2 linked regions of the Canis lupus familiaris genome follow. The protein of the gene in region 1 interacts with the protein of each later gene in a pairwise test. Links are inferred from orthologs where the notes say so. Each region holds a gene or a part of one and is shown on either strand. Other genes may lie near its edges.

Region 1 (3,500 bases):
GGCCGACCTTCGGGGCGCTGTCCTGCGGCTCTGGTGGCCTCTCCGTGTGGACCTCGTCCATGTTCCCAGGCACGTGCTCTCTCTGGGCAGGTCAGGTCTTGCTATCGGATTTGGAGGTTTTTCCACTTGTGCAGTGACTGTTTTTTACATCATTGTAATTCTTCAAAACACAACGTAAATGGTTGTGTGTCGCACCGCACAGCCCATCCCTTCCGGGCGGCCGCTGAGATGCTCGGCTAGCCCCTGCCACCCTGGTGCGCAGGCTATGCTCATGCGTCCCCGGGAGCTCGCCGACTGGCTGGAGCGCCACTGGGGCTGCAGGGAACCGGGGGCTGCAGACTGGGCGGTACTGGGGCGGCGGCCCCCTCGCACAGTGAGCACAGCTGTGGCCCTGCAGGCCTGTGTCTGTGTGTGTGGGGTGACCCTGCAGGCACGTGTCCATGTGGGGAGGGGACCCCACAGGCCTGTGTCCATGCCGGACGGAGTAGGGTCCTGCAGTCCCATGTCCGTGTGTCAGGGGGACCCTGCAGGCCCGTGTCTGTGCCAGGGGCTCTCCTAGGGCTCAGACCAGGACCAGGCAGTCTGCCGGGCTGCGCTCCCTGCCCCCCTTGTTCAGGCGCCGTGTTTCCCTGCCAGCGGGTCTGCAGACCCTCGTTTCTTGGAGCTCATCTGACTTTCTGGTGTTGACAGCCAGCAGCGGGCCTGCCGCGGTGAAGCCCTGTGCTCAGGGCCGTAGCCTGTGTCGCTGTCATTTCCTCAGGACGCCACCGCTGAGCGTGGATGCGGGGCCGTGGGGCGTCCCCTTCCTGCACGCCGCACGCCCACCCTCCCTCTGTCCCATGGATTCCAGTGGCTGTCATGAGAAGTCAGCAGAAACCTGGTATCTGTGCCTGTGCGTGCCGAGTGTGCTGTGTTCTCATCGCTTTTGGGCATTTTCTATCTCTGATCTGTTTTAGGAATTTGATGATGACGTGCTGTTTGGTGGGATTTTCTTTGTGTTTATCTTGCTTTGAGTTTGGTGGACTTCTTGCATCTGTGGTCCTCTGTTCTCATCAATCCGAAGGTACTGTGGTCAGCGTGTCGTAACTGAAGGACTTCTTCCGCAGAGCCTGTTGATGCTCCCGTCTCTCCCTCCTTCCTGCACCTTCTGGTCTGCTCCCAGGCCATCCTCAGTGAATTTATTATTTCAAATGATGTCTTTCTCGTTTCTCCAGAAATTCTGGTTCTTCTAAAATTATCTTCTGGGGGCTCCTGGGTGACACAGTGATTGAGCATCTACGTTTGGCTCAGGTCCTGACCCCGGGTCCTGGGATTGAGTCCCCACGTGGGGCTCCCTGCTCAGGGGCGTCTGCTTCTCCCCCCGCCCGCCCCATGCACTGGCTCTCTCTCTGAAATAAATAGATCTTTTAAAAAGATAAATAAAATTCTTTTCTGTTCTTTTGCTTTTACGCCCATTTTCCTTCCTTTCCCTGAGTGTGTTTGTGGTTGCAACTGTGCTCAGGTTCTGACGGCCACGGAGCGTGTCTTCACGGTTCACCTGGGGGATCGCGTGTGTCAGGGCTTCACTCCTCTTCATGGCTGAACATTGCTCCATCTTGCCACGTTTTTTTAATTCATTCATCCATTGGTGGATGGTTGTGTTTGCACATTTTGGCTCCTGTGAAAAATGCTGCCGTGAACACGCGTGTGCAGGTTTTGCCGGGGCCATCTGTTTTTGGTTCTCTTGGGCTTATGCTCAGGAGCGGAGTGTGGGTCGGGAGTCACTCTGTGTTTGATCCTTGGAGGAGCCGCCAGACGGTCTTCCATGGCGACGCGCCGTCACACACACGCAGCAGCCCTCCCTGTGGGCACTCTGCCTGCCTGTCTTTTCCACACCAGCTGCCACTGTAGCTGAGAAGGAAGCTGCCTGTCAAACAGTAGGCTCGTCTTCCCAGCGCCTGCTGGGAAGGTTTTCATTGTCCCCGTCAGTTTAGGTGGAAGTTTCCTGCCGCCGGGTGGGCAGACGGGAGGGAGTGCAGATGCGGCCAGCCCTGGATGGGCAGCATGCCACAGGTGTCTTCCTAGCTGTCAGCGTTTTCTTTTCTTTTCTTTTTTTTTTTTTTTTTCTTTTCTTTTCTTTTTTGTATGTGCCAGGTGCTCCTAAGGCATCGTGAAGAAGAAACCAAGGAAAGTTTTCCGTCCTATGAGATCCAGAGGCTCCAGGAGCAAAACACAAGCTTACGAAGGGCTGTTTCAGAGATGAGGAAAGAAATGGAGACTCTGAGTGAGCATGTTCTTCCTCCTGCCCCGTCAGGGGGTCAGGCCGGCGGCCCAGAAGAGCCCCGGCCACATCCAGAGGCAGCTGCGAAGGCTCCTGGTGAGTGAGGGCGAGGGTGGGGGCAGGGGCTGGGGGTACGTGGGTCTCCACGGGTCCCAAAGGGGCTCACTTGGAGTCTGTAAATGAACAACTGCTTTAAAACATCACATCAATGTGTGGCAGCAGCCTTCCCCCGAGAGAGGTTTCGTGGAGTCCGTGTTCACAAAAGGGGTTACAGCGTTTTATTGGTTGGGGACGAGGAGAGCGAAGGGCTGCGTCCTTGGCACTTCCAGCCGGGAGCCCGCTGGCCGGGGAGCTGCTGGGCGCTGTTCAAGTGGCGGGCAGTGTGGGGCTGGGGACGCTGAGCCTCTCCTCGGGGTGTCCTGTGCTGTGGCGGAGCGGGGCCCCACTGGTGGCCCAGGAGTGGCCGTGAGCAGAGGGCCCCAGGCAGCACGGCCCCGCGCGTGAGACGCCGTGCACTCCCACAGACGCCAGTGCGTGGGGGTGAGGGGGTGCTGCCTGTCTGCCTCCTTAGGGAGCGCCCTCGCCGCAGGCGGGGGGGGGGCATTATGGGTGGGCGGGCAGGGAAGCCAGCCACCCCAGCCCGAGTGGGCCTCTACCTAGGTGACGGTGATGGGAGCGTCCGTGTGTGTGCCTGTGCATTTACTGGTTTTTTTGGGGGCAGATCACGTTATGGTCCTTGAAACGGAAATACGAAATCTAAAGGATAAACTTAAAACCCTGGAGGAACAAATAGAAGATGTCTTAGATCCTGCAAAGAGGTCCTCATCTTACGCTGACGTTCAGCCCAGTGTCCACTGCCCGGCTGAGGCCCCCGGTAAGTGTCCTCGTCTCCTCCTGTCGCATGCTCTGTCCCACTGACGCGGCCTTTGTTTTCATTGGAATATAAACGCTACAGCAAGTGCAGGAAATGCAAAGGCACAGGTCAAGGAAGGATCACAGCCGCGGGTCCCTGTTCCCGGTGCCCGGGAGTCCCTGGGCCAGGCTGCTCACCCCTCCATGTGGGCACCTCCCTGCCCCCCACCTGCTCGGCCGCACGCAGATGCCCCCTCAACCTGGCTGGGGCGCTGGCCCAGCGGAGGGTCTACCTGGGGGACTAGGGGGCAGACGCCGGCCAGGCAGGGATGATGTATGGGGAGGGAGGGGGAGCAGGACCCCCACCTCCAGATCACCTGGTCTCCAC
Region 2 (4,113 bases), about 30 Mb from region 1:
TTGTCTTTCCCTCTCTCTCTTTTTATTTCCTCCCCCACTGGATTGCCCCTCCCTGTCATTTTTTTTTTCTTCGTTCTCTTCCTTGCCAGCAGATTTCGAGTTTTGGCTTCCCCCAACTCCGCTCAGTGACATGATAAGTCAGAATCATTCTAGAGTCCCCAGAGATAGGAACCAGCTTTTACTTTTATTTCTCTTGCAGCATTTACTAAGTAGACGGCTTTGCATTACTCATTTTTTCCCCAGCTAGCCTCCAGATCTTCCTCCCACCCATCAGGCACTTTCATAAGAAAATCCCAGAGTCAGCGTTGCAGACCCAGCTGAGGGGACAGAGCTGGAGGGACAGACGCTAGGGCAGCAGGAACAGCTGTGAAGTCATGGGGCAGCTGAATTCAGCCGGTAAGCTAGCAAAAATCCATGTTCCTAGGCTTCCCCAGTATTCTTTCTTTATATGTGTGTGGGGCCACACGAAGCTTTAAACTACCCATTGTTTGAGATTAATTCACTTAGGAATGAGGGTTGGAGATGCAAATGCTTACGGTTGAGGGAGAAACCAATCATCTTGCTTTAAATATGATCACTTAATACTCCTGCTAGGAGGTGAGGACACTTTTGGCAATGCTGAGATTCTCATCAACATCCTCATTACCATCATCGCTGTCATTTACAGAGCACCTACTATGGATGTGACAGTACATTGTGTGTGCATTAGCATTAACTCTCACTAGTTTACAAATGAGTTTAGAAATAGTTTCTAAATGAGGTCCAGAGGGGTTAAATAATCTCACAAAGTGCACACAGAAAGAAAAAAACCCTCGGTTTGAACTCCAGTCTTTAATGGGCACATAAATCATGTGGAGAGCTTGTTAAATGTAGAATCTGATTTAGTGGGTCTGTAACAAGCTCCTGGCTGATGCTGCTGCTCTTCGGCCCACTTTCAGGAGCAAGATATTTTAAACATTCAAGTATAGGTGGCTTGATGCATCACACTCTCAAATAATAAAGTTAAAGGTCTATATCCACCTGTTCCTTATGTGGCCTTACAGGTTTATACTTTTTTTTTTTTTTTACAGATAAGCTATTTGAAATTTTAAAGCTGCAGGTTGCCTTTTTGAGAGAAAAATGAGATAACACTAGGACACTATTGTAAGCTCATCCCTATACTGTGTAGCTCAAAGTTATCCGTCCTCTATATTTTAATCTGTACAAGTTTTAATAACGTCTTTTTAATTAATACAGTGAATCTACAAACATAAATTAAATCCCGGAAGAGATTTGTTCCCTTCTTTCTCTTGGGTTGTTAGGTTGCTTTAACTATTGGTGCCGGATGTTCCCAGACATCTCCCTTCTGTTCTAAGCATCCTGCATCTAGTAAAAAATACCTTGATGATTTTGTCATAAAGGGAGAAGGAACAGAAGTCTTTTTCTCTAGAATGGAAGCCAGAGAAGGGGCTTTTTTTCATTTAAAAAAAAAAAAAGCTGAAAAGTCCCTGAGGCCTGACTTCACCAAGTCAGGAGAGCCCCACTAGCTTGCTGAGGAGGATGAGTACCTGGAGGTCCTCCTAGCTGCCATTCTTGTACTTGTATGAGAGACAGAGCCATCATCCAGGAGAAATGCTGTCACTTGGTGTCGAAGATAAGGGATGCTTAGAACCAGGGCATTTCAGCACTTGCCGACATTGCCCTGGGAAGATGATGATATGGTCACTGGCCACATACACTGGAGGCTTTGGGGACGCTCCTTATAAGAGCATCAATCCCTCCCACCTGCAAACTCTGGGCTCTGGGCAGAGTTCCTCTCCATCTCCTAGCAGGGGTCTCTTTCCCACCACCAAAATAATTCAATAAACCCACTGCAGCTCTCAGTATCACCTTACCCTGTTGAACATCATATTCCCCTGTTACCAAAATCAAAGGTACACAAATCAAACTTCTGCCAGAGAGAAAGCAGAGGCACCCTTTTCCCACATTGAGCACTTGGCTGAATCTATAATAGGGGACAGTGAGTACATCTGTGTGCTGGGAACAGGAGCAAGTCTGTCATTACAAGTAACACCAAAGCATTCTTCAGCCTTTCCTGGCCCCAGGCATCTCATTCACCCTAATTCTTCTTCACAAAGAGTGTGCATATACCTAGATATGCAGATGCACATCTCCAGATTCTAAGGAGACAACCAATGATTTGTATTGATAAATACAAAGACGAAGAAAGCTTTGGGATAAAACAGAAGTTGTATATGAAGAATACGCACCAATTATTATACCAATGGACACATGCGGTTATAACCGACTTTTACCTCTTCAAATTGAAACTCAGGGAGAATTCCTAGTGATGAATGCCTGAGGTCATTGAATATTTTTTTACCTTCTTCCACTTTGTGCCTATCCGTTATTAAACTCCCTTGGGAATTCCTTAAGGGACACCTGCCCCCAAATGCAAAATCTTACCCACAGTGCAACCAGTCTTCTTTCTGCAAGCCTTTCAGAAGGGAGAAGAAGTCTTTCTGGTTCTTTTTTAAACACATGGCTCCAGAGGATTCTTTTAAGTTTGGAAAACTTTTCAGAAAGCTTCCAGTGAGTGAATTAAATCGGTGCCCCCACCCCCACCCCCACCCCACACTACCCCTCTGTAGGCATTCAACATTTCTCTCCCAGATCTTTCACAAAGCAAGGCAAAGATTCTTACCTTTCCCAGACAGAATCGGACTGAGACAGCTGCCAGCTCGGCCAACAGCAACCCAAAGAGGGGGGATGCAAATCACCACACTAGGGACCGTAAACAAAGTACTCAACAAGGCTTGAACACAATTAAGGGACCGGAGAAAAACTTGGAGAGAGGAAATCCTTTAAGCGCTGCTGCATTTTGTTCTGTTTCCCTCTATGAGAATGTAATCTGTATTTTTAAAAAGGGAATCAAGTTTGAAAAGAATGTCCTACTTTGTTTTACTCTCTTTATAGCCTCATTCAGGCTTCCATTTTCAAGATTTTCCCTACCCAAGCCCTCATCCTGGTAGTCCTCTGTTCCTACTGTGAACCTACAGAAAAGAATTTGTCATCCTTGTTCTGTACTTCCAGGCAGGTTTTTGGGAGGTATGTGGGCATGGGTAGTGGGGTGTAAATTAATCTCTTTTGTCCTAACATGCAAGTAAAAAGAGGAGCAATTGAAGAGGAGGATTCATGGTGAAAATGGCTTGTGATTCCTTATGTGGACCATTTCCCTGAAGTCCCAGTGGTGATCTTATCAGCACTTTTCATCAGAGGATGGCAAAGCACCATGGAAACAACGGTATTCTGGAAAATCACATCTCTGAGGAACTGAACTCCTAATCAGCATATAATTTCCAGGCTTCAACATCAGTCTGATGCTGGGAAATTGAAACCACCCTGCAACATATAATATTTCCACCAAAGGCATCATAAATAGCAGAGCTTGTTCTTCTGGGGAGAATTTCCCCAAATTTGAAAAATCTTACTTCATTCAGAAATTAGATTGGAAACAAAGTGATTTAGGTGCAGGGGATGCAGAAGTAGAGGAGGGCAGGGAAGATGGTGATAACCAAGAGGACATTTTGCCCCTTTCTCTTCGATACAAGCCAAGGTTCAGTCTCTGGTCTGGAAAAAGGGGGGAGGCATTTTGATTTTGCCATTGACTTTATGCTGCTGAAGACCTGGGTATTTCTCCTTTGGGAACGCACAAACTTCGCATTTTGTGAAGAGAGAGCACCTCCATGTGTATTCAATTACTCGCCCATATTTACTTTCAGTTTGCTTTTGCTTGGTGTGGTTGAGTTGGCTAATTTCCAGCAGCTGTGAAGATGCCAGTTCCTTCCGGCACTCTGTCCAATCACTGCATGCCTTTGATCTGGGTCATCACCCAGTCCAATTGGATTCAGTGAGATTCGGGAAACTGGCCAGTTTTTCTCTTTTCCAATGCTTCTTTTAAGGGTGTGTCTGCATTTATCTTCTGAAATCACTAACATTTTGGAAAGTGATCTGTGCTGGTGTGTTCATTTTGGATAACACGTCATGTTTTTACTGCTTTCCCCACACCACTCCCCAACCCTAGGCACTTTTCTTTGAGGTCTAGGACATTAGAGAGATCTGATAGCACCAAGG

What was found.
Region 2: the proteins of CCDC57 (region 1) and TMEM100 interact in binary tests that used the Homo sapiens proteins (3 or more experiments, as listed by UniProt). The two-hybrid records come from large-scale screens. The link is inferred for Canis lupus familiaris from reciprocal best matches to the Homo sapiens genes CCDC57 and TMEM100.

Annotation. Positions count from the first base shown.
Region 1 is NC_049230.1:986,431-989,930, forward strand, and holds part of CCDC57 (coiled-coil domain-containing protein 57), read left to right. Parts: intron 1-2,133; coding exon 2,134-2,356; intron 2,357-2,981; coding exon 2,982-3,134; intron 3,135-3,500. UniProt on the Homo sapiens protein: Pleiotropic regulator of centriole duplication, mitosis, and ciliogenesis. Critical interface between centrosome and microtubule-mediated cellular processes. Centriole duplication protein required for recruitment of CEP63, CEP152, and PLK4 to the centrosome.
Region 2 is NC_049230.1:30,656,528-30,660,640, forward strand, and holds the start of TMEM100 (transmembrane protein 100), read right to left. Parts: upstream 2,801-4,113; 5' UTR 2,684-2,800; intron 2,464-2,683; exon of another isoform or gene 2,446-2,463; intron 1,671-2,445; exon of another isoform or gene 1,548-1,670; intron 1-1,547. UniProt on the Homo sapiens protein: Plays a role during embryonic arterial endothelium differentiation and vascular morphogenesis through the ACVRL1 receptor-dependent signaling pathway upon stimulation by bone morphogenetic proteins, such as GDF2/BMP9 and BMP10.